4 linked regions of the Lonchura striata genome follow. Each later gene encodes a partner of the first gene's protein in a complex. Links are inferred from orthologs where the notes say so. Each region holds a gene or a part of one and is shown in the gene's direction. Other genes may lie near its edges.

What was found.
Region 2: TMEM216 (region 1) and TMEM107 share a complex: the UniProt entries of both Homo sapiens proteins name them as parts of the tectonic-like complex. The link is inferred for Lonchura striata from reciprocal best matches to the Homo sapiens genes TMEM216 and TMEM107.
Region 3: TMEM216 (region 1) and B9D2 share a complex: the UniProt entries of both Homo sapiens proteins name them as parts of the tectonic-like complex. The link is inferred for Lonchura striata from reciprocal best matches to the Homo sapiens genes TMEM216 and B9D2.
Region 4: TMEM216 (region 1) and AHI1 share a complex: the UniProt entries of both Homo sapiens proteins name them as parts of the tectonic-like complex. The link is inferred for Lonchura striata from reciprocal best matches to the Homo sapiens genes TMEM216 and AHI1.

What each region holds. Positions count from the first base shown.
Region 1 is NC_134608.1:53,696,344-53,703,342, reverse strand, and holds TMEM216 (transmembrane protein 216), read left to right. Parts: upstream 1-4,664; coding exon 4,665-4,791; intron 4,792-5,092; exon of another isoform or gene 5,093-5,142; coding exon of another isoform or gene 5,143-5,155; intron 5,156-5,348; coding exon 5,349-5,450; intron 5,451-5,532; coding exon 5,533-5,625; intron 5,626-5,825; coding exon 5,826-6,027; intron 6,028-6,116; coding exon 6,117-6,132; 3' UTR 6,133-6,488; downstream 6,489-6,999. Other genes in the region: lysosomal membrane ascorbate-dependent ferrireductase CYB561A3, read right to left, coding at 90-246, 464-618, 693-901, 966-1,171, 1,991-2,031; TMEM138 (transmembrane protein 138), read left to right, coding at 3,088-3,215, 3,288-3,459, 4,203-4,278, 4,361-4,473. UniProt on the Homo sapiens protein: Part of the tectonic-like complex which is required for tissue-specific ciliogenesis and may regulate ciliary membrane composition.
Region 2 is NC_134636.1:1,519,369-1,527,330, forward strand, and holds the start of TMEM107 (transmembrane protein 107), read left to right. Parts: upstream 1-4,960; 5' UTR 4,961-4,982; coding exon 4,983-5,054; intron 5,055-5,982; coding exon 5,983-6,020; intron 6,021-7,962. Other genes in the region: aurora kinase C, read right to left, coding at 123-198, 831-870, 2,476-2,558. UniProt on the Homo sapiens protein: Plays a role in cilia formation and embryonic patterning. Requires for normal Sonic hedgehog (Shh) signaling in the neural tube and acts in combination with GLI2 and GLI3 to pattern ventral and intermediate neuronal cell types.
Region 3 is NC_134633.1:4,806,570-4,813,769, reverse strand, and holds the start of B9D2 (B9 domain-containing protein 2), read left to right. Parts: upstream 1-4,191; 5' UTR 4,192-4,212; intron 4,213-4,468; 5' UTR 4,469-4,471; coding exon 4,472-4,559; intron 4,560-6,652; coding exon 6,653-6,778; intron 6,779-7,200. Other genes in the region: zinc finger protein neuro-d4, read left to right, coding at 108-189, 2,470-2,540. UniProt on the Homo sapiens protein: Component of the tectonic-like complex, a complex localized at the transition zone of primary cilia and acting as a barrier that prevents diffusion of transmembrane proteins between the cilia and plasma membranes.
Region 4 is NC_134605.1:58,103,630-58,111,167, forward strand, and holds the start of AHI1 (jouberin), read left to right. Parts: upstream 1-4,529; 5' UTR 4,530-4,597; intron 4,598-5,101; exon of another isoform or gene 5,102-6,578; intron 6,579-6,998; 5' UTR 6,999-7,034; intron 7,035-7,538. UniProt on the Homo sapiens protein: Involved in vesicle trafficking and required for ciliogenesis, formation of primary non-motile cilium, and recruitment of RAB8A to the basal body of primary cilium.

The sequences.
Region 1 (6,999 bases):
GAGACAGGGATGAGCCGGGATCCCTCAATCCTTCCCCCACCCTTGGAACTGTGCTGGGGCTTCCCAAATCCACCCAGCGTGTCCTGTACCTGCCGGGAATCTGGGGAGTCGGAATCTGGGCGCTTCCAGCTGGGCCTGGCCAGGGCAGCCACCACCAGCACTCCAAAAATGAGGATGAGGAGTCCCAGGGTGTTGGCAAACACAGCCTCAGCCGGCAGGAGCTTGTACTGCATTGTCCCGTTCTTCCTGGAGCGGAGAAACAGAGGCTGGGAATGTTCTGAATATTCCTGAAACCCCTCCCAAACCTTGCAGGGAACTGTGCAGGGAGCCACACACCTAAGGAAGTGCTCAGTTCCCTTTGCTCTGCGCTGGTCACTCCCAAATCCAGCCCCAATCCACATCCTGAGCCCCCCCTATCCCTGTGAGGGATCTTCCCAAGCCACCCCCCAGCTCTGACTCTCACAGGCTGAAGAAAAGCTTCTCGTTGATTCCTGACACACAGGAAGCCACGGACAACAAGAGGATGGTGGAGCCGAAGAAAACGTGGATGGGCTTGTAGAGTGCCCGCAGCCAGGTGGGAGCCCAGGGAAGCAGGAATGCTCCAAAACCCGCCACCCACTGTGGGAAGAAAAGGTGAGGGTGGAAAACTCGGGATGCTGGAGGGATGGGGGGCATCCAGGAGGGATTCCCACCTGGCAGGAGAAGAGCAGGACAGTTCCCAGCCCCATCCAGCTGTGCAGCGAGTACATGTTGGGCGTCCCTTGGGAGTTGTGGAAGCAGAACACGGCCGACAGCCCCAGCACGGTCAGGATGAACGCCCCCAAAGCCAAGCTGCCGTGCAGCACCTTCCAGGGAAGCTTGGGGCCACTCCATGTGTAGGGAATGCGGTAAACCAGGGCAGCTGTGAGGGGGAGAACAAGGTCAGGAAGGAGCTGTGGCGGGATCCCCGCGCTCCCTTTGCTCACCTGCGCCGTAGAGCACCACCAATCCCGTCACCATCAGCACGGGGTGCCAGTTGAATGTCCGGGAGCTGCCGTCCAGGGAAAAGCCCCCGCGCCAGTGCTGGCACCAGGAGCCCACCATGGCCACGCAGAGCAATCCCAGCGTTCCCAGGAAGGCACAGAAGGGCAAGAAGGGCACGTCCAGCATGGCCGCGGAGCGCTGGTGGCACCTGTGGGCGAGTGAGGAGCCGGCTCAGGCTCCGGATGCGGTCCCAGGGAGGAGCCACGGAAAGGGGAACTGGGAGTCCCGAAGGGTGTGGGGGACAGCTGTTTGACAGCCTGGGGAAGGTGACGGCGATGGAGCTGCCTCCCAGCCACGGATGGTGGCCCAGCAGCTTCCCAGCCTGGTTATGGTGGCAGGGATGGATCCAGGATGGTGGCGCCTGGGGATGATTGAGGTGCCTTTTGGGGCTCTCCAACATCACCAGGAGAAACCGTGGAAAGGGGAACTGGGAACCCTGAGGGGGTGATCACAGTCCAGCTGTGCCCTGGACTGGGAAGGAGGCCAGGGATGGAACAGGACATGCAGAGCAGGGCACAGCACCCCGGGAATGGCAGTGAGGAGCTCCTGGTGTCAGCTGTCATGGTCCCCTTGGCAGGAACCCCATCGCTCTCATTTCTATGCGATTTGCATGTGCCCCCAGAATTGGCTATTTCTGTCCCCTCTGGGGACCGGGGCTGTCCCGACACCCTCAAATCAGCTGCCTCACAGGACATAGAGGCAGGAAAGGGGTGGAGACACACGGCCCTATGGTTCCCCAAAATCTGTGATATCTCCGGGACACAAAGACTCACGGATTTCCCAAATCTGGCACACTCGGTGCCACGGCTCCCCGAAATCTGGGAACACGTGGCTCCACAGCCCCGCCCAAACCTGGACCTGGACCAAAACGCCCGGCCCTGACACCACCCAAAGCCCAGACCACGAGGTCCCTCAGCCCCTCCAGCCCCGGAGCCGCCCACCAGCGCTCCCAGCCCCGGGGCTGTACCTGCGCCCCACCGCCCCCTCCTCCTCACTGGGCGCCGCCATCTTGGCGGGCGCCGCTCTGCCCGCTCATCTCTATGGTTTCCCCGCCCGCCCCAATGCGGCGCCACAGAGAGGCGCGGCGGCCAGAGCGGCCCCGCGGGGCCTCCAGCCGCCACTTCCGGCTCCACTTCCGGCTCTGGCGGCCGTTTCCATGGGGACCAAGATGGCGGCGGCGGGTGAGCGCCCGGGGCGGGGGCACGGCGGGGACCCGGCGGCACCCCCGGCACCGGGACCTCCGCACCCAGAGGGCTTTGGGCGTGTCGGGGGGTGGACCCCGGAGAGGGGAGGGGGCCACGAACGGGGGGAGAGGGCGGCGAGAGGGGGCGCGGGGGATCCGCGGTGGTGGCTGTGAGGAGGGGCGGAGTGACGCGGATCTGGAGGGGCAGAGAGTGATTTCTTAATCCCCATATCCAACTCTTTCCCCCCTCGTGTCCATCAGTTTCTCGCTCCCATGTCCAGCCTTCTTTCCCCGCATTTCCAACCACTTTCCTCCCTTTCCAGCCCCTTCACCCCCGTCTGTCACCATGTCTCCCCCTCAGGGAATTCAGCTCCCAGCACAGCCCTTTTCCTGCCAGGACACGGGGGATCCCTGTCCCCTCCGTCCCTCTTCAGCCAGGATGATCCCTGAGGGGGCTGTTCCCCCTGTGGGATATGTGTCCCACAAGGACCGTACCTGCTCAGGTGTCCAAAACTTCCCGTCTGTCTCTCCTCACTCCTCTCCCTGTGCCCAGAGTGGAACATGCCCAAACCTGCTCAGAACTGCCCATGGAGCTGAGAACAGCCAGAAATAACCTGCTTGGACACTGCTTCTTGGGACTGCACGTCTCCCTCATCCCTGGATTTCCTCACATGGGGATGGGGGTGGATTTCAAGGGGAAGGAAGACACCAGAGGAGAGAGAGGACACAGCTCATTGGGTTTCCCTGATTTATGGCATCCATCCCAATCCCCGTCTTCCCCCTCCAGGTTTGGGACGTCGGGAGAGGCCCTGCTGAGCCCCCTCAGCGCCATGATCCGTTGGGAATGCTGGGGCTGAGGGCTCCAAGCCCCAGGAAGGAGGATGCTCCAGCCCAGCAACTACAGCCTGGTGCTGTTCCTGCAGTTCCTGCTGCTTTCCTACGACCTCTTTGTGAATTCCTTCTCGGAGCTGCTGCGCACAGCTCCGGCCGTGCAGCTCGTCCTCTTCATGTGAGTACGGGCAAGGCGGGGCGGCAGATCCAGGAGGCCCAGGAGCCCACGGTCCCTCTGTTCTCCCGGCAGCATCCAGGACATCGCCATCGTCTTCAACGTCATCATCATCTTCCTCATGTTCTTCAACACCTACGTTTTCCAGGCGGGATTGGTCAACCTCCTCTTCCATAAATTCAAGGGAACCATCCTGCTCTCTGCAGCCTACCTGGCACTCAGCATCTCCTTCCACATCTGGATTATGGTAGGGTGGCGTGGGCACAGCTGCTGGATTCTCCCAAGGGATTTTTCCATGACCCCCAGCTTCCCACAGTCCTTTCTCATGGTCTCCCCCTGGAAGGTGCCCCATGGAAGATGTCCCATTCCATGACACTGTGGTTGGCATCAGGCTGGAAGTGTCCTGCCCAATCCCAGCCCCATCCCAGCTCATTCCCTAAGGGCTGTGACCCATCAGAAAATCCTCTTTCCCCAGAGAAAGCCTGTGCTAGCAGCTCCTGGTTTTTCTGGGATCAGTCCCTATACCTGGGGGCAGCCCACTCCCTTCCTGCAGCTCCTGGCTCTGTCCTGGCAGCACCTTCCCCTTTTCTTTCCTGAATAAACTCCTTCCTAGCTCCTTCCCAACGGAGCAGTTCCCATCCCCTGGACACTTCCTGAAGTTCCCTCCATCCTGCTGCCCCGGAGCACAGGGAATGTTGTGAGGGGTCAGGAGCCACAGCAGCTGCTCCAGCGCTGCCCACGCCGTCCAGGAAAGGGATTTGCAGGGATTTGCAGGGATCTGCAGTCTGAAGCCGGAATAGGTCCGGGCTCAATGCCTAAATCCCCTGAGCTGCTTAACCTTAGAGTAGGGGGATTCCCAAACTTCTCCAGGTGTTACTCCTAGCTTGATGTCCCTCCATCCCGCTCAGAACCTTTGGAATGGGGTGAGGGGTCTGGGAGGGCTCAACAAAACTGCTCCAGGGGTTATTCCCAGTTTTCCAACCCCCTCAGAACCTGCGCTGGCGTGACTCCAGCCGCTTCATCTGGACTGAAGGCCTTCAGACCCTGTTCGTTTTCCAGAGGCTGGGTAAGGACTCCAGGGATCAGGGTGGGATCCCACATCCTTTGGGGATGCTGGGGGCCCTCTCTCATCCTGAAATTCCCTGCAGCGGCCGTGCTTTACTGCTACTTCTACAAGCGGACAGCTGTGCACCTGGGAGACCCCCTCTTCTACCAGGATTCACTCTGGCTCCGCAAGGAATTTGCCCACTTCCGTGGCTGATGGATCCCCAGGATCCCCTGGAGTCTCCTTGCACTCCACAGGCTCTGCCGGGGTCACTTCTGGCTCATCCTTTCTCTAGGGAGCAGTCCTTGGGATTCTGGAAGTCAGCGGGACGCTTGTGGGGCGTCCGTGCGTGCCACAGCCTTGGTTGGCACTGGAATGTTAATGGAAACCCTAAAGGAATAAATCGGATGTGGTTTCCGGAGGCTCCCGGGTGTGTGCGCCCACCCGGTGTCACGGCTGCACTCCTTTCATTGAAACCCGGCTCGGCGCTGCGCTTGGCGGGCGGAGTTCGAACGGGGCCGTTCCCGTGTTCCGGTGTGGGATTCTTCTCCCAGCGGATACGAGCGGGCGGGTTTAGGAGGGAGGGGACGCGAACCCGCGCGGCGCTCCGCCCACGGAGCGGTGCGGCGGGAGCGGCGCGCGCACCGCCGGGAGCGGCGGGGACCGAGCGGCCGCGCGCGCCCGCCCCGCCGCCCCGCGCGCCCGCCCCGCGGCCCCGCGCGCCCGCCCCGCGCGCCCGCCCCGCCGCCCCGCGCGCCCGCCCCGCGCGCCCGCCCCGCGGCCCCGCGCGCCCGCCCCGCCGCCCCGCGCGCCCGCCCCGCGGCCCCGCCCGCAGCGCCCCCGCGCGGGCGAGCGCGGCGGCGGCCGTCCCCATGGAGATGGAAGATGGCGCCCAGGGGTGGGAGCGGGACCGGGGGGGAAACGGGAGCTACCGGAGGGCAGCGGGGGCTACCGGGAGGAGCTCGGGCTGGGAGCAGCGCTGGGAATGGGCTAAGGGGGCGGGCAAGGCGCTGCAGGGCTCCGGGGGCCGCGCTGCCCTGCCCGCCCCGTGCTCTCCCCCCCCCCCTCACGGCCGCCCCGTGTCCCCTCAGGCCGCCATCGCTCCTCGGCTCCGCTGCAGGTCCTGCTCTTCCTCAACGGCTGGTACTGCGCCACGTATTTTCTCCTGGAAGCGTTCGTGTTCGTGTACAAAGGTGAGTGCTTCGCTCCAGAGCTGTTCCCCATCCCGCCGGGGTGGGCAGGAATGCGATGCTGAGGGCGGTGCTTTTCCGGCAGTGCTGCTCCTGCCCTATCCCGTCTACAACTTGGTGCTGGACGTGGTGCTGCTCCTCCTCTACCTCGGCATTGAGGCCACACGCATCTTCTTCGGTGAGTGCCCCTGAATGCCAGAGGCTCCACAGGGAGTGCAGGGTCCTGGGACACCCCCGAAGACATCCCTGGAGGTTCAGGTTGGAATGGGGCATGCAGCAGCCTGGGCTAGATGAAGGTGTTCCTGCCCACGGGAACGGGACATTTAATTCCCCACCCAAAACCCTCCCATGTTCTGATCCCAGCTCTGTGTTCCACAGGCTCCAAGGGGAACCTGTGCCAGCGGAAGGTGCCGCTGTCCCTCAGCCTGGCGCTTACAGTGCCGGCGGCTGTGCTGGCTGTGTACTACCTGCTGCTCCAGACATATTCCCTGCGCCTGGAAGCGTTCCTGAGCGCCATCCTGCTCCTCTTCTACGGCCTGGAGCTGCTTCTGGGCTTCCTGGCACTGCTCTCCTTCTCCAGGTGCCGCATGCTGGGAACTGGGGGAGCTGGCGCAGCAGCTGCCAGGTTGGTTTGGGACCCACACATCCCTGTCTCTGTCTTTTCCACAGCATGGATCCCTACTGAGGACACGGCCCAGGGACACAGGGAAGCATCACCCGTGCCAGCTCCACTTCCCAGCCCCGGGAATGGGGATGATCCCACCCTTCCCACTGACCATTTCATCTGGTGCCTCCTGGACACATCCCTCCCATTTTTCCTACTTCCCACTTCACCAGGGACCTGCTGCCACATGGATTCATTCCTCCCTCTTCCCACTTCCCACTTCACTCACTCTCCCCTGGGCCTATCCTTCCCACCTTTCCCACTCTCCACTCCACTTGGACTCCTCAGAGCTTGAGCCAGCTCAAGGTATGAAGAATCCTTTTTTTTTTCTACGACCTTCCAGAATAATTCACTATTTTCCAATAAATATTTATTTTTACTCGTTGCCTGGGAATGTTCAGGTGCTTCCAGCACCTCAGAGCCAGTTTGGGAAGCACAGGAGCCCATTGGAGGAGGAAGAGGGTGAGGGACAACGGGTGCACAGACCTCCCCAAATCCCTCCCATTCTCTCATTATCCCAAATCCCACCGTAGGAAGGCAACAGGAGCACTGTATAAAAGACTGACAACGTCATCTGAGTTTATTACACAATTCCAACCTATCCAAAGACAAATCTAATCACTGCGAGCAGGAGGGGCGGCGCCTCGCCGGGGCTTCCAGGGATTTGCTCTGCAATTTGGGGGGGAATCTTTTCCCCCCTCTCCACTATTTGGAAAGAAACTAAAAATCTGTGGCGGTAAGTAAAAAAAAACCCGGAGCTCTCCCGCCGAGTGCTCCCACCTCGTGGGGCTTGGGAAAATCGGGGTGGTTTCTCCTGGATTTGGGTTATTTCAACTTAAAAAGACTTCCAGGGCCTGGGTTTTCTCATCCGAGTGTGATTCCAGCCCT
Region 2 (7,962 bases), on another chromosome or scaffold:
CAAAAACCACCCAAACCCCCCCAGGACCCCCAAAAACTCCACCCAGGACCCCCCAAACCCCCCCAAACCCCCCCCAGGACCCCCCAAATCCCCCCAGGACCCCCAGCCCCCTCCCCCCGTACCTGCCAGAGCCTTCCCGGGGGGCTCCGAGTTTGGGGGGTCCTTGCAGGGCACCCGCAGGGGAGGGGGGACCAAACTCTGGGGGGGACAGGGGCAGGGGTCACCCCAAAAATACCCAAATTGGGGAGGGGTCACCCCAAAAAATACCCAAAATTGGGGAGGGGTCACCCCAAAAAAACCCCAAATTGGGGAGGGGGACACGGGCAGGGGTCACCCCAAAAATACCCAAAATTGGGGAGGGGGACACGGGCAGGGGTCACCCCAAAAATACCCAAAAAAAACCCAAATTGGGGAGGGGGACACGGGCAGGGGTCACCCCAAAAATACCCAAATTGGGGAGGGGTCACCCCAAAAAAATCCCAAATTGGGGAGGGGGACACGGGCAGGGGTCACCCCAAAAACCCCAAATTGGGGAGGGGTCACCCCAAAAATACCCAAAATTGGGGAGGGGGACACGGGCAGGGGTCACCCCAAAAATACCCAAAATTGGGGAGGGGTCACCCCAAAAATACCCAAATTTGGGGAGGGGGACACGGGCAGGGGTCACCCCAAAAATACCCAAAATTGGGGAGGGGGACACGGGCAGGGGTCACCCCAAAAATACCCAAAATTGGGGAGGGGGACACGGGCAGGGGTCACCCCAAAAATCCCAAATTGGGGAGGGGTCACCCCAAAAACCCCAAATTGGGGAGGGGGACGGGGGGTCTCACCTTGGTCAGGCCGGGGGCCACGTTCTCCTTCTGAGCCATCCTGGGGAGCACGGAGGGTCAGGGGGACCCCAAAATCCGGCAGGGACCCCCAAAATCCAGTGGGGACCCCCCAAAATCCAGCAGGGACCCCCCAAAATCCAGCGGGGACCCCCAAAATCCAGCAGAGAACCCCCAAAATCCACTGGGGACACCCCAAAATCCATCGGGGACCCCCCAAAATCCAGCAGAGAACCCCCAAAATCCAGCGGGGACCCCCAAAATCCATTGGGGACCCCCAAAATCCAGCAGGGACCCCCAAAATCCAGCGGGGACCCCCCAAAATCCAGCAGGGACCCCCTCTGGATCCCCCAGTTCCCTTCAGGACCCCCCAAATCCCATCAGGACCCCCAAATTTTTCTCATAAATCCCCCAGGACCCCCCAATTCCCCCTCAAGACCCCCCAAATCTCCCTGCAGGACCCCCAAATTCCCCCCAGAAATCCCCTCAGGACCCCCAAATTCCCCCTCAGCACCCCCAAATCTCCCTGCAGGACCCCCAAATTCCCCTCAAGAACCCCTCAGGACCCCCAAATACCCCTCAGGACCCCCAAATACCCCTCAGGACCCCCAAATACCCCCCAGGACCCCCAAATACCCACTCAGGACCCCCCAATACCCTCAGAAATCCCCTCAGGACCCCCTAATTCCCCTCAAAGCCCCCCAATTCCCCCCAATAACCTCTCAGGACCCCCCAATTCCCTCAATATCTCCTCAGGGTGCCCCAAATCCCTTCAGAAACCCCCTCAGAACCCCCCAGTTCCACTCAGAACCCCCCAATTTCCCTTAGAAATCCCCTCAGCACCCCCAAATCCCCCCTCAGCACCCCCAATTCCCCCTCAGGACCCCCAATTCCCCCTCAGGACCCCCAAATCCCCCCTCAGCACCCCCAAATTCCCCTCAAGAACCCCTCAGGACCCCCTAATTCCCCTCAGAAACCCCCCAGTTCTCCTCAGGACCCCCCAGTACCCCCCTAGGACCCCCCAATTCCCTCAATATCTCCTCAGGATTTCCAAAATCCCCTCAGAAATCCCCTCAGGACCCCCTAATTCCCCCCAGAACCCCCCAATTCCCCCCAATAACCTCTCAGGACCCCCCAGTTCCCTCAATATCTCCTCAGGGTGCCCCAATTCCCTTCAGAAACCCCCTCAGAACCCCCCAAATGCACTCAGAACCCCCCAGTTCCCTCAGAAATCCCTCCAGAACCCCCAAATCCCCCCTCAGGACCCCCTAAATCCCCTCAGAACCCCTCAGGACCCCCTAATTCCCCCTCAGGACCCCCCAATTCCCCTCAAGAACCCCTCAGGACCCCCTAATTCCCCTCAGCACCCCCCAATTCCCCACAATAACCTCTCAGGACCCCCCAATTCCCCTCAATATCCCCTCAGGACCCCCCAATCCCCCCTCGGGACCCCTTAATTCCCCTCCAAACTCCCCAATCCCCCTCAGAAACCCCCTCAGTTCCACTCAGAACCCCCCAACTCCCTCGATATCTCCTCAGAATCCCCCAATTTCCCTTAGGAGCCCCCTCAGGACCCCCTAAATCCCCCCGGGACCCCCCAAATCCCCCCCAAATCCCCCCAAAATCGCCCCCAATTCCCGCCCCTCACTCGCCGCCCGCCGCCGCCGCCGCCGCTTCAAATTTCCCCCGCGCGCTCCCATTGGCCGCCGCCCGCTCGCGCCGCGCTCCCATTGGTCCGCGCCGCCTTCATCCCCGCCCCCCAGGACGCGCGCCGCGCTCCCATTGGTGAGCGCCCCACGAATCCCCGCCTCCCCAGCGCGCGCTGCGCGCCCATTGGTCGATGCCACGCGAAGCCACGCCCCCCCACCGGCGCGCCTTCACCCCGCCTCCCCCACTCGGCCGTTCCGCCCACCCGCGCGTGACTCGCCGCTGATTGGTCGCTGCCGGAGAGGTGAACGGCCAATCAGCGCGGGGAACGCGCGGTCACGTGGGGAGGCGGCCATTTTGTGCGCGGCCGTTCAGCCCGGCAACAGGGGCGGGGCCAAGAGGGGCGGCGGCCAATCAGAGAGCGGGGGGGGCGCGGGGGACCAGTACGGACCAGTATGCACCAGTATAAACCAGTATAGACCAGTATGGGCTGTTATGGATCAGTTCAGACCATTAGGGACAAGCATAAACCGGTGTGAGGCACTGCGGTTTAATACAGACCAGTATAAACCAGTATGAACCAGTACAAGCCAGTATAAACCAGTACAGGCCTCTGTGACCCAGCCCAGCCCAGTATAACCCAGTATAAACCAGTACAGGCCTCTATGACCCAGCTCAGCCCAGTATAACCCAGTCCAGCCCAGCATAACCCAATATAAACCAATCTAGCCCAGTATAACCCAGTATAAACCAGTATAACCCAGTATAAACCAGTACAGGCCTCTGTGACCCAGCCCAGCCCAGTATAACCCAGTATAAACCAGTACAGGCCTCTATGACCCAGCCCAGCCCAGTATATCCCAGTATAAACCAGTACAGGCCTCTATGACCCAGCCCAGCCCAGTATATCCCAGTATAAACCAGTACAGGCCTCTATGACCCAGCCCAGCCCAGTATAACCCAGTATAAACCAGTACAGGCCTCTATGACCCAGCCCAGCCCAGTATATCCCAGTATAAACTAGTACAGGCCTCTGTGACCCAGCACAGTCCAGTATAACCCAGTCCAGCCCAGTATAACCCAGCATAACCCAGTATAACCCAATATAAACCAATCTAGCCCAGTATAACCCAGTATAAACCAGTATAACCCAGTATAAACCAGTACAGGCCTCTATGACCCAGCCCAGCCCAGTATAAACCAGTATAAACCAGTACAGGCCTCTATGACCCAGCCCAGCCCAGTATAACCCAGTCCAGCCCAGTATAAACCAGTCCAGCCCAGTTTAAACCAGTATGCTCCAGTATATCCCAGTATAACCCAATATAAACCAGTCCAGCCCAGTATATCCAAGTATAGCCCAGTATAACCCAGTATATCCCAGTATAGCCCAGTATATCCCAGTATATTTCAGTATAACCCAGTATGTCCCAGTATAACCCAGTATAGCCCAGTATAACCCAGTATAGCCCAGTATAACCCAGTATAACCCAGTACATCCCAGTATAACCCAGTATAGCCCAGTATAGCCCAGTATAACCCAGTATAACCCAGTACATCCCAGTATAACCCAGTACATCCCAGTATAACCCAGTATAACCCAGTATATCCCAGTATAACCAGTACATCCCAGTATAACCCCATATATCCAAATATAACCCAGTATAACCCAGTACAACCCAGTATAACCCAGTATATTTCAGTATATCCCAGTTTAACGCAGTGTAACCCAGTACATCCCAGTATATCCCAGTATAACCCAGTATTTCCCAGTATTTCCCAGTATATCCCAGTATAACCCAGTCCAGCCCAGCATCCCCACCCCAATCTCCGGGAGGGGGCGTGGCCACTTTCCGGTGGGCGTGGCCTATCAAGTGGGCGTGGCCTTGGTGGGCGTGGCCTGTGTGACGGGCAAGCTTTGGGCGCGGCGGTGGGCGTGGCCAGGGCGATGGGCGTGGCCAGGGCGGTGGGCGTGACCAGGGCGGTGGGCGTGGCCAGGGGCGGTGGGCGTGGCCAGGGCGGTGGGCGTGGCCTGCTCCGTTGCCGCGGTAACAGCGCCGCGCGGGGCGGGGGGAGGGGAGGAAAACGCGGGAATTCCGGGGTGGGGGAGGGGTCCCGGGGGAGGGGGAGGGGTCCCTAGGGTGGGGGAAGGGTCCCCAGGGTGGGGGAGGGGTCTCGGAGGTCCCGTTCTGGCCATTTGGTGGGGGGGAGGGAGAGCGCGAGGTGGGGGAGGGGCTAAAAAAGCGGGGGGAGGGGAATGAGGGGGTCCCATGGGTGGGGGAGGGAAATGAGGGGCACCCATGGGTGGGGGAGGGGAATGAGGGGGTCCCATGGGTGGGGGAGGGAAATGAGGGGCACCCATGGGTGGGGGAGGGGAAGGAGGGGGTCCCATGGGTGGGGGAGGGGAAGGAGGGGCTAAAAGGGTGGGGGAGGTGCCAAAGGGGAGGGGGAGGGGCGGTCTAAGCCCCTCCCCCTCCCCAGGCCCCGCCCCCTGCCTCGTTCCAGCCAATGGCGTTGCTGCTGCCCGGGCGGTTCCTGGCGATGGTGGCGCACCTGGGCATGCTAATGAGCATGGGCGGGGTCAGTGCATGCTAATGAGCATGGGCGGGGTCAGTGTATGCTAATGAGCATGGGCAGTGTCAGTGCATGCTAATGAGCATGGGCGGGGTCAGTGTATGCTAATGAGCATGGGCGGGGTCAGTGTATGCTAATGAGCATGGGCGGGGTCAGTGTATGCTAATGAGCATGGGCGGGGTCAGTGTATGCTAATGAGCATGGGCGGGGTCAGTGTATGCTAATGAGCATGGGCGGGGTCAGTGTATGCTAATGAGCATGGGCGGGGTCAGTGCATGCTAATGAGCATGGGCGGGGTCAGTGTATGCTAATGAGCATGGGCGGGGTCAGTGCATGCTAATGAGCATGTGCGGTGTCAGTGCATGCTAATGAGCATGGGCGGGGTCAGTGTATGCTAATGAGCACGGGCGGGGTCAGTGTATGCTAATGAGCATGGGCGGGGTCAGTGTATGCTAATGAGCATGGGCGGGGTCAGTGCATGCTAATGAGCATGTGCGGTGTCAGTGCATGCTAATGAGCATGGGCGGGGTCAGTGTATGCTAATGAGCATGGGCGGGGTCAGTGTGTGCTAATGAGCATGGGCGGGGTCACTGTATGCTAATGAGAATGGGCGGGGTCAGTGTATGCTAATGAGCATGGGCGGGGTCAGTGTATGCTAATGAGCATGTGCGGTGTCAGTGCATGCTAATGAGCATGGGCGGGGTCAGTGTATGCTAATGAGCATGGGCGGGGTCAGTGTATGCTAATGAGCATGGGCGGGGTCAGTGCATGCTATTGAGCATGGGCGGGGTCAGTGTATGCTAATGAGCATGGGCGGGGTCCGTGCATGCTAATGAGCATGGGCGGGGTCCGTGCATGCTAATGAGCATGGGCGGGGGCAGTGTATGCTAATGAGGGTGGGCGTGTCTTGTCCTGACCCCGCCCCTTTCTCCAGGCCCCGCCCACGCTGCCCTCGGGGGAGACAGAGCCGGGGTGAGTGAGACCAGTTCAGACCAGTACAAACCAGTATAGACCAGTGTAAACCAATATAGACCAGTACAGACCAGTATAAACCAGTATAAACAATTATAGACCAGTATAAACCAGTATAGACCAGTATAAACCAGTATAAACAATTATAGACCAGTATAAACCAGTATAGACCTGTATAAACCAGTATAGGCCAGTAAAAACCAGTACAGACCAGTATAGACCAGTACAAACCAGTATAAACCAGTATAAACAATTATAACCAGTATAAACCAGTATAGACCAGTATAAACTAGTACAGACCAGTATAAACAATTATAGACCAGTATAAACCAGTACAGACCAGTGCAGACCAGTATAGACCAGTATAAACAATTATAACCAGTATAAACCAGTATAAACCAGTATAAACCAGTACAGACCAGTATGGACCAGTGCTCCCACAAGGGTCTCTGGGGGGAATTTTTTGGGAATTTTCCGGGGGAATTTTGGGGAATTTCGGGAGGATTTTGGGATTTTTTGGGGGGATTTTGGGGTTATTTTGGGGGGAATTTTGGGGATTTTGGGGTTTCTCTCACCCCTTCTCCCCGCAGGTTCTGGGCGGGATTTTTGGGGTTATTTTGGGATATTTTGGGGGATTTTTGGGGTTATTTTGGGATATTTTGGGGGGATTTTTGGGGTTATTTTGGGATATTTTGGGGGATTTTTGGGTTTCTCTCACCCCTTCTCCCGCAGGTTCTGGGGGGATTTTGGGGTTATTTTGGGATATTTTGGGGGGATTTTGGGGTTTCTCTCACCCCTTCTCCCGCAGGTTCTGGGGGGGATTTTTGGGGTTATTTTGGGATATTTTGGGGGATTTTTGGGTTATTTTGGGATATTTTGGGGGATTTTTGGGTTTCTCTCACCCCTTCTCCCGCAGGTTCTGGGGGGAATTTTGGGGTTATTTTGGGATATTTTGGGGGGATTTTTGGGGTTATTTTGGGATATTTTGGGGGGATTTTTGGGGTTATTTTGGGATATTTTGGGGGGATTTTTGGGGTTATTTTGGGATATTTTGGGGGATTTTTGGGTTTCTCTCACCCCTTCTCCCGCAGGTTCTGGGGGGGATTTTTGGGGTTATTTTGGGATATTTTGGGGTTTTTCTCACCCCTTCTCCCCGCAGGTTCTGGGGGGGATTTTTGGGGTTATTTTGGGATATTTTGGGGGATTTTGGGGTTATTTTGGGATATTTTCGGGGATTTTTGGGTTATTTTGGGATATTTTGGGGGATTTTGGGGTTTCTCTCACCCCTTCTCCCCGCAGGTTCTGGGCGGGATTTTTGGGGTTATTTTGGGATATTTTGGGGGGATTTTTGGGGTTTTTTTGGGGATATTTTGGGGGGATTTTGGGGTTATTTTGGGATATTTTGGGGGATTTTTGGGGTTATTTTGGGATATTTTGGGGGGATTTTTGGGGTTATTTTGGGATATTTTGGGGGGATTTTGGGGTTATTTTGGGATATTTTGGGGGGATTTTGGGGTTTCTCTCACCCCTTCTCCCCGCAGGTTCTGGGGGGGATTTTTGGGGTTTTTTTGGGATATTTTGGGGGGATTTTTGGGGTTATTTTGGGATATTTTGGGGGGATTTTTGGGTTTTTCTCACCCCTTCTCCCGCAGGTTCTGGGGGGGATTTTTGGGGTTATTTTGGGATATTTTGGGGGATTTTGGGGTTATTTTGGGATATTTTGGGGGGATTTTTGGGGTTATTTTGGGATATTTTGGGGGGATTTTTGGGTTTCTCTCACCCCTTCTCCCGCAGGTTCTGGGGGGGATTTTTGGGGTTATTTTGGGATATTTTGGGGGATTTTTGGGGTTATTTTGGGATATTTTGGGGGGATTTTTGGGGTTATTTTGGGATATTTTGGGGGGATTTTTGGGGATATTTTGGGGGGATTTTGGGGTTTCTC
Region 3 (7,200 bases), on another chromosome or scaffold:
CCCAAAATCCATTCCTTTCCCCCGGCCCCGTCCTTTCCCCAAATCCGTTCTTTTTCCCCAAACCCCATTTTTTTGCTTTTGCCCAAAATCGCCTTTTTTGGCCCCAGGAGCAGCTGCTGTTCTGCGACGACTGCGACCGCGGCTACCACATGTACTGCCTGAGCCCGCCCATGGCCGAGCCCCCCGAGGGTACTTTGGGGCGTTTTGGGCCTTTTTGGGCATTTTGGGGCATTTTTGAGCATTTTGGGGCATTTTGGGAGAAATTTTGGGAGAAATTTGGGAGGATTTTGGGGGGTTTGGAGGGATTTTGGGGCATTTTTGGGGGGATTTGTGGGGGTTTCGTGGGGGTTTTGGAGGGAATTTGGGGAATATTTTGGGGGGTTTTGGAGGGAATTTGGGGGATTTTGGATCATTTTGGGGATTTTGGGGCATTTTGGGAGGATTTTGGGGGATTTTGGGGAATATTTTGAGAGATTTTGGATAAGATTTTGGGGGATTTTTGGGGGTTTCGTGGGGGTTTTGGAGGGATTTTGGGGAATATTTTGGGGGGTTTTGCAGGGAATTTGGGGGATTTTGGGGGATTTTGGGGATTTTGGGGCATTTTGGGAGGATTTTGGGGGGATTTTGGGGGGATTTTTGGGGTTTTGAGGGGGTTTTGGTGGGATTTTGGGGAATATTTTGGGGGGTTTTGCAGGGAATTTGGGGGATTTTGGGGATTTTGGGGATTTTGGGAGGATTTTGGGAGGATTTTGGGGGGATTTTTGGGGGATTTTTGGGGGGATTTTTGGGGTTTTGCGGGGGTTTTGGTGGGATTTTGGGGACTATTTTGGTTGGGATTTTGGGGGGGATTTGGGGAATTTTGGGATTTTGGAGAATATTTATGGGGGATTTTGGAGAAATTTGGGAGGATTTTGGGGGGGTTTGGAGGGATTTTGGGGGGGAATTTGGGAGATTTTGGGTCATTCTTTGGGGGATTTTTTTGGGATTTTGGGAGATTTTTGAGAGGAATTTGGGGGAATTTTGGAAGGATTTGGGAGATTTTGGGGGTTTTGGAGGGATTTTGGGGGTTTTTTTTGGAGGGAATTTAGGGAATTTTGGAAGGATTTGGGAGATTTTGGAGATTTTGGGGGATTTTTTGGAAGTTTTGTGGGGGTTTTGGAGGGATTTTGGGTTTTTTTTTGGAGGGAATTTAGGGAATTTTGGAAGGATTTGGGAGGTTTTGGGGAGTATTTGGGGAGATTTTGGGGAAGATTTTGGGGGATTTTAGGGGAATTTGGGTGATTTTGGGGCATTTAGGGTTTTTTGGGGGGATTTTGGAGAAGATTTTGGGAAAATTTGGGGGGATTTGGGAATTTTTGGGGAGAATTTGGGGAGATTTATGGGAGGATTTTGGAGAATATTTTGGGGGATTTTAAGGGAATTTGGGGGATTTGGGGGATGTTTGGGGATTTTTGGGCAGATTTTGGAGAAATTTTGGGAGAAATCTGGGAGAATTTGGGAGAATTTGGGAGAATTTGGGTGGGTTGGGGGGGGCTTGGAGGCATTTAGGGGCATTTTGGGGGGATTTTGGGAGATTTTGGGGATTTTGGGGATTTTAGGGGATTTTTGGGGGGATTTGGGAAGTCTTTTAGGGATTTTGGGGGATTTTTTTGAGATTTTGGGGATTTTTGGGGGGATTTTGGGGGAATTTTGGAGATTTTGGGAGAAATTTGGAGGGATTTTGGGAGGGTTTGGAGGCGTTTTGGGGCATTTTAGGGATGGAATTTGGGAGATTTTGGGTCATTATTTGGGGGATTTTGGGGATTTTTTTGGGATTTTGGGGGGATTTGGGGGATTTTGGGGGATTTTTGGGGGGATTTGGGGATTTTGGGGAGAATTTGGGGGGATATTTGAGGGATATTTGCCAATTTCGGGGGGAGTTTTTGGGATATTTTTTGGATACTTTTGGGGAATATTTACCGATTTCGGGGGGATATTTGGGGGAATTTTGGGGCTATTTTTGGGGAATATTTACCAATTTTTGGGGGATATTTGGGGGAGTTTTTGGGCTATTTTTGGGGAATATTTACCGATTTCGGGGGGATATTTGGGGGAGTTTTGGGGCTATTTTTGGGGAATATTTACCAATTTTTGGGGGATATTTGGGGGAGTTTTTGGGCTATTTTTGGGGAATATTTACCGATTTCGGGGGGATATTTGGGGGAGTTTTGGGGCTATTTTTGGGAGATGTTTACCAATTTCGGGGGGATATTTGGGGGAGTTTTTGGGCTATTTTTGGGGAATATTTACTGATTTCGGGGGGATATTTGGGAGAATTTTGGGGCTATTTTTGGGGAATATTTACCAATTTTGGGGGGATATTTGGGGGAGTTTTTGGGCTATTTTTGGGGAATATTTACCGATTTTGGGGGGGATATTTGGGGCCGTTCCGGGGCCATTTTTGGGTTGAAATTCGGCGTTTTGGGGCAGGGAGCTGGAGCTGCCACCTGTGCCTGCGGCAGCTGAAGGAAAAGGCCTCGGCCTTCATCACCCTCCCCTAGGGGGGGCCGCCCCCCAAAAACCCCCAAAAACCCCCAAAAACCCCCAAAACCCCCGACCCCCCCCCAAAAACCCGACAAAAGCCATAACCGAGCTGGGGGGGGGGAGGGGAGGTTTTGGGGAGGGGGCTCCCAAATTTTGGGGGGGGGGGGGGGCGCCGAGTGTTGCATGATGGGAAATTTTGGGGGTCCCTCCCCCCCCTCCCGCGCCCCCCTCCCCTCCCCCCCCCGCGGGCGGATTTTGGGGGGGTTTTTGGGGGGGGTCGGGAGGGGGGGTGGGGGAGGGGAGGGGGTTGGGGGTCTCTCCCCCCCCCCAACCCCTCCCCAAATTTTGGGGGGCCCCCCCCCGTGGTGTCGTGGTCGGTTCTGTGCTGTGGTGTCCGTGCAGTAAATTTGGGGTGACCCCCCCGTGACCTCTGACCCCGTCTGGGGGGGGGGAGGGAATTTGGGGAGGGGGAGGGGCGGGAATTTGAAGGGGAATAAAATTTTGGGGGGCAGGGGCAGAATTGGGGGAGGGGCAGAATTTGGGGGGAGGGGCAGGAATTTGGGAAAGGAGGAATTTGGGGAGGGGAGGGAATTTGGGGAGAGGAGCGAGAATTTGGGGAGGGGGAGGGGTGGGAATTTGGGGCAGGAATTTGGGGAGGGGGAGGGGCGGGATTTGAGGGGAAGGAAAAATTTGGGGGGGAGGGGCAGAATTTGGGGGAAGGAGGAATTTGGGGAGGGGGAGGGGCGGGAATTTGGGGGAGGGGGTTGAAATCTAGGAGAGGGAATCCCAAAATTTGGAGGGAAAAGTAAAATTGAGGGGAGGGACATGAAATTTGGGGTTTTTCCTCAGTTTCGGTGTTTTTTCCCCAATTTTGGTGTTTTCCCCCCAATTTCTGGGTTTTTCTCAGTTTTGGGGATTTCCTCCCCAATTTCTGGGTTTTTTCCCCCTAATTTTGGGGGATTTATCCCCAATTTTAGATTTTTCCCCCCAGTATTGGGTTTCTTCCCCCAATTTTGAGTTTTCTCCCAATTTTGATTTTTTCCCCCCAATTTTGGAGGCTTTTCCCCCCATTTTTGTTTCCCCCCCCAATTTTTTGGTTTCTTTCCCCAATTTCTGGGGTTTTCCCCAAAGTTTTGGGGTTTTCCCCCAATTTTGGTTTTCCCTCCCCCCAAGTTTGTAGTTCTTACCCCAATTCCTGGGTTTCCCCCCAATTTTGGGGTTTTTCCCCCAGTTTTGGGGTTTTTGCCCCAATTTTGGGGTTTTCTCCCAAATTTCTGTTTTTTTCCCCAATTCTAGTTTCTCCCCTCCAGTTTTGCAGTTTCCCCCTCCAGTTTCTGGGTTTTTCCCCCAGTTTTGGGTTTTTCCTCCCAATTTTTGGATTTCCCCCGAATTTTTGGATTTTCCCCCAATTTTGGTTTTTTCCCCCACTTTGGGGCACCCCAAGATGGCGGCGGTACACACAAGATGGCGGCGCCGCCCTCAAGATGGCGTCCCCCTACTCTGTAACGCCCAAGATGGCGGCGGCCGTACGGCAAACTCTGCCTCACACGCATGCGCAGTGATAACGCCGCTCTTTGTGGGCGTGGCCTGACCCGCATTGACCAATCAGCGCCGGCCCGGCGTTACCGTGGCAACGCAATGCGGCAGCGCCGCCCGCGCATGCGCAGTGGCGGCGCGGGCAGGGGGCGGGTGAGCGCCGCGCGGGCGGAATTTTGGGGGGAATTGTGGAAATTTTGGGGAATTTTGGGGGGAATTGTGGCGATTTTGGGGATTTTTGGGGGGAATTTGGGGCGGGGGACGGAGGGGATGGGTGGAGATGAGGGAGGGACGGGCGGGGATGGCGGGAGGGGAGAACGGGGCGGTTTTGGGGGGGATTTTTTGGGATTTTTTGGGATTTTTTTGGGGGGATTTTTGGGGTGAATCCGGCGGGTTTCGGGTCCCGCAGCCCATGGCGGAGCTGCACCTCTTCGGGCAGATCGAGAGCGGCTGCGGCTTCTCCGAGCGGCGCCTCTTCTGCAAGTGGGGGCTGCACGCCGGTGAGCGCGGCGGGGTGGGGGTCTGGGGGGATTTTGGGGATTTTTGGGGAATTTTGGGGAATTTGGGGGAATTTGGGGGATTTTGGGAGGGATTTGGGGGAGTTGGGAGGAATTTCGGGGAGTTTTGGGGGAGTTTTAGGGGGATTTGGGGATTTTTTTGGAGGATTTTGGGGGGATTTCGAAGGGATTTGGGGAGATTTTGGGAGGAATTTGGGGGATTTTGGGAGGAATTTCGGGAGGTAAGGGGTGGGTTTTGGGAATTTGGAGGGGAGATTTGGGGATTTTTGGAGGATTTTGGGGGGTTTTGGGGATTTTGAAGGAGATTTTGGGGGGATTTTAGGGGGATTTGGGGGGTTTGGGGGATTTTGAAGGAGATTTTGGGGGAATTTCGGGAGGTTTTGGGGGGATTTTAGGGGGAGATTTGGGGATTTTTGGAGGATTTGGGGCGGATTTGGGGGTTTTGGGTGGAATTTGGGGGATTTTGGGGGAGTTGGGAGGAATTTCGGGGGGTTTTGGGGGCACTTTGGGGATTTTAGGGGGATTTGGGGGAGGGTTTGGGGGAGATTTTGGGGGTCTTGGGGAGATTTGGGGGGATTTTGGGAGGAATTTGGGGATTTTGGGAGGGATTTTGGGGGATTTTGGGAGGTAGTGGGTGGATTTTGGGGATTTGGGTGGGAAATTCGGGTTTGTTTGGAGGATTTTGGGGGGATTTGGGGGAGGGTTTTGAGGAGATTTGGGGTTTTTGAAGGAGATTTGGGGATTTTGGGAGGAATTTGGGGGATTTCTGGTGGGATTTGGGAGATTTTGGGGGGATTTGGGAGATTTTGGGGGATTTTGGGGGGTCTGGGGGATTTTAGGGAATTTGGGAGGAATTTTGGGGGGATTTTAGGGGTTTTGGGGGAGAGATTTGGGGATCTTTTAGAGGATTTTTGGGATTTTGGAGATTTTGGGGGATTTGGGGGGATTTTGAGGGGAACTGGGGGAATTTGGAAGATTTTGGAGGGATTTTGGTGGGATTTGGGGAGATTTGGGGACATTTGAGGAGTTCTGGGCAGATTTTGGGGGGATATTGGGGAGATTTGGGGGTTCCGGGGTGATTTTGGGGGGACCTGGGGCTTTGGGGCCATTTGGGAGAATTTTTGGTGGTTTTCGATGATTTTTGGGTTATTTTAGGTGATTTGGGGATCATTTTGGGGTGATTTTGGTTAATTTTTAGGGTGATTTGAGGTTATTTAAGAGGATTTTGGTGTCCCAGGTGATTTTGGGGTGATTTGGGATGATTTTGGGGGATTTCGGGGGTTTTGGGGTATCCTAGGTGATTTTGGGGGGATTTTGTCGTGATTTTTGGGGTGATTTTGGGGTGATTTAGTCTGATTTTGGGACATTTCAGGCTGATTTTGGGATATTTCAGGGTGATTTTGGGACATTTCGGGCTGATTTTGGGACATTTTGGGCTGATTTTGGGAAATTTTGGGCTGATTTTGGGGTGATTTTCTCTGATTTTGGGGTGATTTTGGCTGATTTTGGGCCGTTTCGGGTACTGGCGCCACCTGGACCCTCCTGGCTGATTTTGGGGTGATTTGGGGCCATTTTGGGTTGCTTTTGGGATATTTTGGGGTCATTTTCCCTAATTTTGGGCCACTCCGTGCTGCAGGCTCCGCCTGGACGCTGCTGGCTGATTTTGGGGTGATTTTGGGACATTTTGGGGTGATTTTCCCTGATTTTGGGCCGCTCCATGCTGCAGGCGCCGCCTGGACGCTGCTGGCTGATTTTGGGGTGATTTTGGGGTGATTTTGGGACATTTTGGGCTGATTTTGGGCCGTTCTGGGCGCAGGCTCCGCCTGGACGCTGCTGGCTGATTTTGGGGTGATTTTGGGCTGATTTTGGGACATTTTGGGCTGATTTTGGGCCGTTCTGGGCGCAGGCTCCGCCTGGACGCTGCTGGCTGATTTTGGGGTGATTTTGGGGTGATTTTGGGACATTTTGGGCTGATTTTGGGCCGTTCTGGGCGCAGGCTCCGCCTGGACGCTGCTGGCTGATTTTGGGGTGATTTTGGGACATTTTGGGCTGATTTTGGGCCGTTCTGGGCGCAGGCTCCGCCTGGACGCTGCTGGCCGGGGCGGGCGCGGGGCAGACCCAGCTCGACGACCCCCAGGGGGGCGACGCCGCCCAGTGGAGCCACCCCCTGGACCTGCACCTGGGGACACGCGGCCTGCAGGGTGCGGGGACACCCGTGGGGACATCGGGGACACTGGGGGGACATTGGGGACACTGGGGACAGTGGGGACATTGGGGACACTGGGGACATTGGGGGGATTGGGGGCACTGGGGGGATTGGGGACATTGGGGACACTGGGGACATTGGGGACATTGGGGGGATTGGGGACATTGGGGACATTGGGGACATTGGGGACATCGGGGACACTGTCAGGGCCATGGGTGTTCAGGGAGGACACTGGTGGTGTCAGGGTCCCCAGGTGTGTCCCCAGTGTCCCCAGTGTCCCCCCAGTGTCCCTGATGTCCCCAATCCCCCCAATGTCCCCATGTCCCCCCAATGTCCCCATGTCCCCAATGTCCCCAGTGTCCCCAATCTCCCCAATGTCCCCAATCCCCCCAGTGTCCCCAATGTCCCCAATCCCCC
Region 4 (7,538 bases), on another chromosome or scaffold:
GTGATTCTCACTCAATATGTCAGTGGAAGCAGGGAAATAAATGAACCTTAATAAAATACTGGAGAATAAAATATCCCAGTGAGATAAACAGTAATGTTTAAAAAGATAGGCTTGAAGACTTTAAAAAAAAAAGAGTTATAAGAACATGTTGAAGGACTACAAACTAAAGTCTCCAAACAGACTTGATTAAAAAACCAAGCCTTTAGAAGAAAGAAAAGATATCTGATGAACCTCATCAACAATTACATTCTGAAACAAAACAAGTACATTTCAAAGAATAAATACCTTTCTGAAAAAAAGAGATTTTGGAAATTAGTCTACAAATAAATATTGTTAAACACAGGATATGATAGGTATATTCAGGGGATCTGTTGCTGTTTATTAAAGCTTATTGCATAGTTAATAAACAACACGAAAGGAAAATAATTAAAACATATGCAAAGATGCACTAACCGTACAAGGGGAACAATTGTATTTTGAAAAGTTAAAAAAGCAACAATGCTACACTTAGTTACAGACAAATTCTAGCTCCAATATCCAATGCTTTCAGAACACTTCACAAAAACTAGACTTAATGCCATGTGCTGTTACACTACCACCCTGTGGAAAAGTACCTGAAGTGTCCTGAGAGCACAAAGGTTTTCCAAATGATAAAATGCTTTCAAAAAGACTTAGAATTCTTGTTCTGACGACAGAAAAACTGAGATTTATAGAGATAATAGATACTTAGCTATACCTCAGGAGACGCTGTTCAAGAAACACTCATAGAGAAGACAATGAAATTTGTCTTCCGAGGGTTTGTGACCTCATTGTCTGGACACACAATTTGAACCTATGGCTTCTGAAACCTAGTTTTCTGTCAGTGAAATAAAATGAGGTTACCTTCTTTTCCTCCTGTTGCAAAGTAAATAGACATTCTAGTACGTTAAACATATTGAAATATGAGGGACTGTTCACGTGACACTCCTAATAACTTCAGCCAATTTAAAATGGAAAATAAAATTAGTTTTTAAAAATTTAGGAGTGTTACATTCCCTGTTAATACCAGATCCCTAGGATTGTGCCACTTCATAATTCCAGCCTTGCTTCAAGTCTCTGCACTAATATGATGACTAAGACTTGATTTCCTTAAAACATTTTAAAGTCTTAAACTGAAAACATGATCAAAAAAGGAAGAAGAAACCAGGTTTCTTTAAATGTTTTGCTGAATTTTAATGTAAGATTTTTTTTGCTTTGGGCCTATAAATAAAAACTGTAGTAGGCTGTGAAAAAACTTTTCTGTATTACAGAATTATAGCTTTGGGAGAACTGCCACTCACAAGAAGTTGATAATACACAACCAAAATAAAATCCGTGGTCACAATTGGTTTTGTATCTACCCTGGAGAGAACTTTGTGAAGGTAAATGTGGCTCAACAAAGTCAGTGAGGATAAAGAACATTCTTCTGAGAACTCTTTTCTGAGAAAGGACTGCTTACTTGCCCCCATGAACTAAGGGCACCCACTTCAGGACTAGGAGACAAGTCAAGGACAGAACTAAGAACTAACAGGGAAAGCTTTTCAGTTCAAAGACTTGCAGATCTCTGAGAAGCAGCCACAGAAATTTAGACTGCCAAATAAACACCTACAGGCATTTCTACTGCCAGTATTGAGGCACACCAACTTTCCAGCATAGTTATTTCTTATGACTTGCATTTAAACCACTAGAAATTTAGCATGCAAAATGCAATCATCTCAGGATGCAGAACATATTGCAGAATTGTTTTCTATTAAAGAAATTGATTATTGGCTTTAAAGTTTTGACCCTTCTTTTTTTTTACCAATGTAATATATGTAAATTTCTTCTTTCTGTTGTCCCAACTCAAGCTTCACCTTATGTCAAATTAGATTGTTTGCTCAGAATACCAAATAGCAGAAACCCTATTATGTTTTGCTATCAAGAGAAAATAACCCACTGATGAGTTAAACAATTAACTTCTGCCAACATATCACTGCACAGTTAGCATTCTCTGAGTTATCCAGCCCCAGATCGTTTCCATTTTGTACACTCGAGTGACACCTCGAGGCTGTCCCTGCATGTGACAGATTTTACCTTTTGCTGAAAGGTGGGCTCTGACAAGAACCTTGATCCATTCTTCATCGTCCTGGAATTCCTGCGAGAGTTTCAGAATGCATCTGGTATCTTCAAACTGTTCACCTGTAACCCACAATGTCACTTTAGTTCGTGTCCCTTTCTACTTCCCACACATCCCAAATGTAAGATAATGGAAAGCTTTCTCTGTACAAGCCCCTGCAACTGAAATACCAGGTGAACACAGGGAACACATGCTTTTGAAGCCATTGAAAAACTCCATGCACACATGTTCAATTTTTTTCAAAAGTCTTGGTTTTCTGCTTCTAGCAGCATAGGAATTGCACACTTGTCTCTGCTTATGAACAGGATATGTTGTGTTTGGAGTATGCTTTCTTTCCTTTGGTGTCTGTTCCACAGGCCATCGAAGTACAGACAAAACTCATCCTGTTATTTTAGGGGCTGTACAGGTTCCCCTGCATTCTTTAGGTGCTCCTGACTTGCATTGCTTTTGCAATAATGAGCAAAGTCCAAATATTTTTTTTAAATTTCACAGTCAGGAAATGGAAAAAAAATATTTGTGACACTGACACAGGAATACACATTGCAACATCTTTAGCTGTAATGAAAGTGTGATCAGCAGCCTCAGGAACTGCTTAGCATCAGCAGGTCATGTTTTGCACTATGCAAAGTACATCAGAAGAACTGTAAGACATAGGACATTGTAAGAAGTAACATGAGGTGAAAAAGTCTTCTTTACATCAGCATGTCAATCCTTGGCTTACAGTAGCTTTCTATATGGAACATTCTTAACTCCAGAATAGTAATTTTTAACTAGTCCAGGATGAAAGGAACAAATTTAACATAGACTTGTTCTATCTATTATTTATGAGTAAGAACTGCAGCATTGTCATCTGCCTCTACCCCCCAAAAACCCAACTAAAAAAGTCAGCTAAAGAGGTTAGATTTATTCTCCCCTGGCACGGAAACTGGCCTTGACCACTACTTGCTTATAGATCTCAGATGGCACAAATACCTCATGTTTGTCAAAGGTGTAATGATCACAGAAATCTTAAAGACATTCTTTTGAAGCAACTGCTCCTGGAAACTTGGCACAAACTTTTGGTAGTAATAGAAAACCTGTGGATGTCTCCTGCCAGGCTTACTTAGAAGGCTTTATAGCTTTATTACTGCTGGTCAAATTAGACAATATCAAATCCGCTTTCCATGTCAATGATTAAAAATGACTGGTTTTGAGTTTGCCACAACTGAGCCTCTCAGATGCCAGGAAGTTAGTTAGAAAGGAAACATCTATCTGGATTTCTGATCCAATCTCTTGTTCAATGCAAGGCCAACCTGAAAGCGAGTCCAGGTTGTTCAAGGCCATTATTTCATGGACTTTGGGGCACTACGAAGGACAGGGAGATAAAGAATGGAGATTCACTAAGGATAAAGGGAAGCACACGAATGCTGAGGAGTTGGTTTATGTTTGTTATGCCAAGGCAACCCAGGAGACCTGCCTAACAAAACCAGAAATATCCCTACCTATCAGTTGAGTGCACGTAAGCTTTTGAGAAAGCAGAGGACAGGTAAGTACAAAAAGAGACATTAGTGACTGTCAATAACAACACATAAGGAAAGAACAGGCAAGCCAGGTTTCAGAAGGTCATTCTTTAGGAAGCCAGTGTAATTCATTGACAGAATTTGAGGGATGCAATGCTTGGGAACTATGTCACAAACTCAGCATCACAAGCATTTGCTCACCTCTAGTTTCTGAAAATTGCTATCAAACGAAGGCTAATTTTATTCAACTTTACTTCTGAAAAAAAACTAACCATGTTCATGGAAAACCTTGCACTGATTTCTCAAATCTTCCAGTGCAGGAGGAACCTTTGACATCTATAGTTTTAATCATTTTTTACACAGAATAATTGAATATACAGGCTTTCAATGACAAAAATGCTCAAGTTTATTAGGTAATTATCCCTGAGAGGGAAGAAAAATATCCCCCAAAGAACTGCTTAAATCAACTATTAAATCAGGCAACAAACAGAAGTTCTCCAGTATCTGCATAGCTGGAGGACATAAATTTGTGCTACTATTTGCAGAAAGCTTATGTGCATTCCAAACGCTTGTCACTCGCCCTCCTGAGCCCAACAGAGCCCATTACCCAGGGACTTTATTCTTCGCCAAGCTACTTTTGTTAGTCTGAACTCCGAGAGCTAATACGTAGTTTCGACAGTTTTGTTTTTTTTTTAATGGACGATGAAATACCCGTGCGAGGGCTCCCGTTTCTAATGCTTTTCATAGCTGTTTGTTTGTTTTTGGTTTGGTTTGTTTTTCCCCGTTCCCCGCGCCCCCAGCGCGCCGTTTCCCTGGCAGCCGGGATTGTTTTGGGCGGAACCACCCGCGCGGCGCTGCGGAGGGGGAGCGGGGCCAAGGAAGAGCGCACTGGCGGAGGGAAGGGGGAGGCGGGGCGGCCGCCGCCGGGCCACGTCGCGGCCGCGGCGGGAGCGGACGGGGCCGGGTGAGTGCTGCCCTCGGCGGGCAGCGGGGCCGCGCCCCGGGCCGGGCCCCGCCGCTCGTCGCAGCGCACGGCCCCGGGGGCGGGTAGCGCTGGGTAACGCCTCCCCGCCGCTGCTCCCTCCCCCGGCTCCCCTGCCCGCCCCGGGGCGGGGGGCTCAGCCTGGGGCTGGGCACGGCCGCGGCCGTTGGCGCGCGCGGGCGGGGAGCGGGAGCGGGATCGGGATCTGGGCCGGGGCCGGGCTGGGAGCGGGATAGGGGCGGGATCGGGATCGGGGCTGGGCTGGGAGCGGGAGCAGGGGCGGGAGCGGGATCGGGCTGGGAGCGGGATAGGGGCGGGAGCGGGATCGGGCTGGGAGCGGGATCGGGGCTGGGAGCGGGATCGGGCCGGGCGGCGGCCAGCGCGGGCCGGGTGCGCGGGCGCGCTGCGGGAGGGAGCGGGAGCGGCTGGCGCAGCCGGCGAGCGTGCCCGGAGCGGCCCCGCAGTGCCGCTGTCGCCGGGCGGCACCGGCGGCCTAGAGCCGCCTCAGTGCTGTCGCTGTCCGCTCCCGGCGCGGAGGCACGGGCAGTGCCGCGGGATGCCCTAAGCCCGGATGGGTGTTCTTTCGCCTCCGCCACCCCACCCCCGCCTTTCCCGGGCTCTGTGGTTCACTGGGGTGACGTCCGTGGGCAGCTGCAGTGAACATACACAGTGCTTCTCCATGCCTGACACCCGGCTCCGAGGCGGGGATGCCTCCCTCGCATGCGGGGCGCGCATCTGGATGCGCATCACATCCTCGTTAAATAATTCCGTCGGTTAGTCCAGTTGTGGTGTGGGGCCGGAAAGTCCCTTTATATCTTTTAAATCTTCTTTCAGGCAAAGCAGAATGTCACATTGGAAATTCAAATACTTAATGCGGTCTCTTGTTAAGAACAGTTTTTAATAATTAGCATCTAAGATAAAGCAGAAAGTTAGCAAACAATAAAAGTCGTCTGTATTTCCTTACATAGAACTGAAGTCAGTAATTTTGCCATCAGAGTCTATTTGCAACTTTCTCTGCACCGAAGGTGCCAAATTTCTGGGGTAAAAACCGCAACCTAACAGTTCCTACGAAGCAAAAACTTTCTGGTATGTTACTATTAAAAAACTGAGGGCTGCACCAGCTTTTTAAAACATCTTTTCTTATTAGTATAAGGTTTTTACAGGCACATCTAAACTGGTAGAAAACTACTGCACTTTTACTAGGTTTTACATAGGTGTTTATTTCGTCTGTTGGTTTTCTGGACTTAAACACTGAATTTTCATTAATAAAACTAGATTGGTTTTTGATGTCAGATTTTTTCAATAGTGAGCAGGAACACATTCATCTCTGTAATTTTGCTGTATAATTCTGAGCTGAAGTTCTTTCACATCTCAGGAGTAATGGTCACTGCATGTTGCTTAATTAGATGCCTACTAGTAAAACCCAAGATTTCCCTCTGTGATATAAAAGATGAGAAATAAACAAGACCTGATGTTCTACTTGTTTACAGACACTGAAGTTTATGCTCACTTACTGCGACAAAAGAAAAACAAGGAATTTAGTTCAGGAAAATCCTAAGTGTGCAATTATATTTTGTCAGCTCAGTTTACTAAATAGTTATAATTGGGTAGGAAATTTTTTCACTTCCCATTGTTTAGTGCAAATTCTGTATGTGCTGCTCATAGTAATGTGAGTTTGATTTATATCTTTTATTAGTGGTCAGTAAAAGTGGGTTTTGTGTATGGTGACTATCGTGGCATGTTTAGCATAAAATCCCTGTATTACAGATGTAGAGTATAGCAACTCAATGAATATTGTAAAATACTGTGAAAAGAGCAAGAGGTTAATGTAGAATCACTTTATAAATAGAATATTGGAGAAGAACAAGCTAGGTTATTTTCAGGAAAGTATAGTAATTGTAAGTTTAGACTTTATGAATTTGTTTTGCTATTTTGTCATGCTGGCTGGAATGTCACTTTCCAGGTATGTGTTTTTGTCAGTCTTGGATTGTCTTATATTTACTAACATGGAAAAGATCCAATTTGATCAGGCAAAAATGCATTTTACAAAATTAATGATGGCTGAGCTTACTCAGACTGGGGCACAGTGGTTGCTGAACTTTGATATACAATTAAATCTCTCCTAAGGTGAGATTACACTAAGTAAACAGCCTTGTTCTTATCCTTGTTGATTAATGATCTATATTTACACAAGCCTGATAGTTGCTTTAAAGAAGCATGTCAAAGACTATGAAGCACTAAATTGGAAATGCCTATTAAACAATAGCACTGTCATGAGAGGACTTTATCGCTTAGTTTTATTGCCACAACAGGGTAGACACTGATTAAGTAAACAAACAGTTATGCATTCATTGGTGAATTTTGATAATTCTTCATTTTACAGGGCATGCTTGTAAACATGAGGCGACCCTAGCCTTTGGTAAGATGTTTGTTCCATTATAATAAAAAAATATGTAAGACTAGTATTTTAACCAACCTATGGGTTATTTAACCTTTGACCAGAAACTTATTACTTAGACTACTTAAATAGAATAGTACTATTCTAGAATAGAATAGTACTTAGACTAGATATGCACTTATTCCATTTTGCTTTTGTGTACTATATTGTCTCATATTTTTTGCTTTAAGAGCCCTTCAGTATTTAATTTCTTATTTCTAATTAGTTTTAGAGGGCTTGTTGAAATTATTCAGCTAATTATAAGATACTTTTCCATGTTTCTGTGGTCTTTAGTCAGTGATTAAAGTGATAGAATCTGTTGTATTTTTTAAATTTATTTAGTTTTCTGCTCTTCTAAATTATGTGCTTTCTAGCCAATTGTGAATTGACTATTTGGAAAGCAGCACTTAGTAACTGTAGTACTTTTGAAATGGCCATTAAATTTAACCAGGTATAAATTGCAAAAGCAGTTTTGTTTTTCAATGG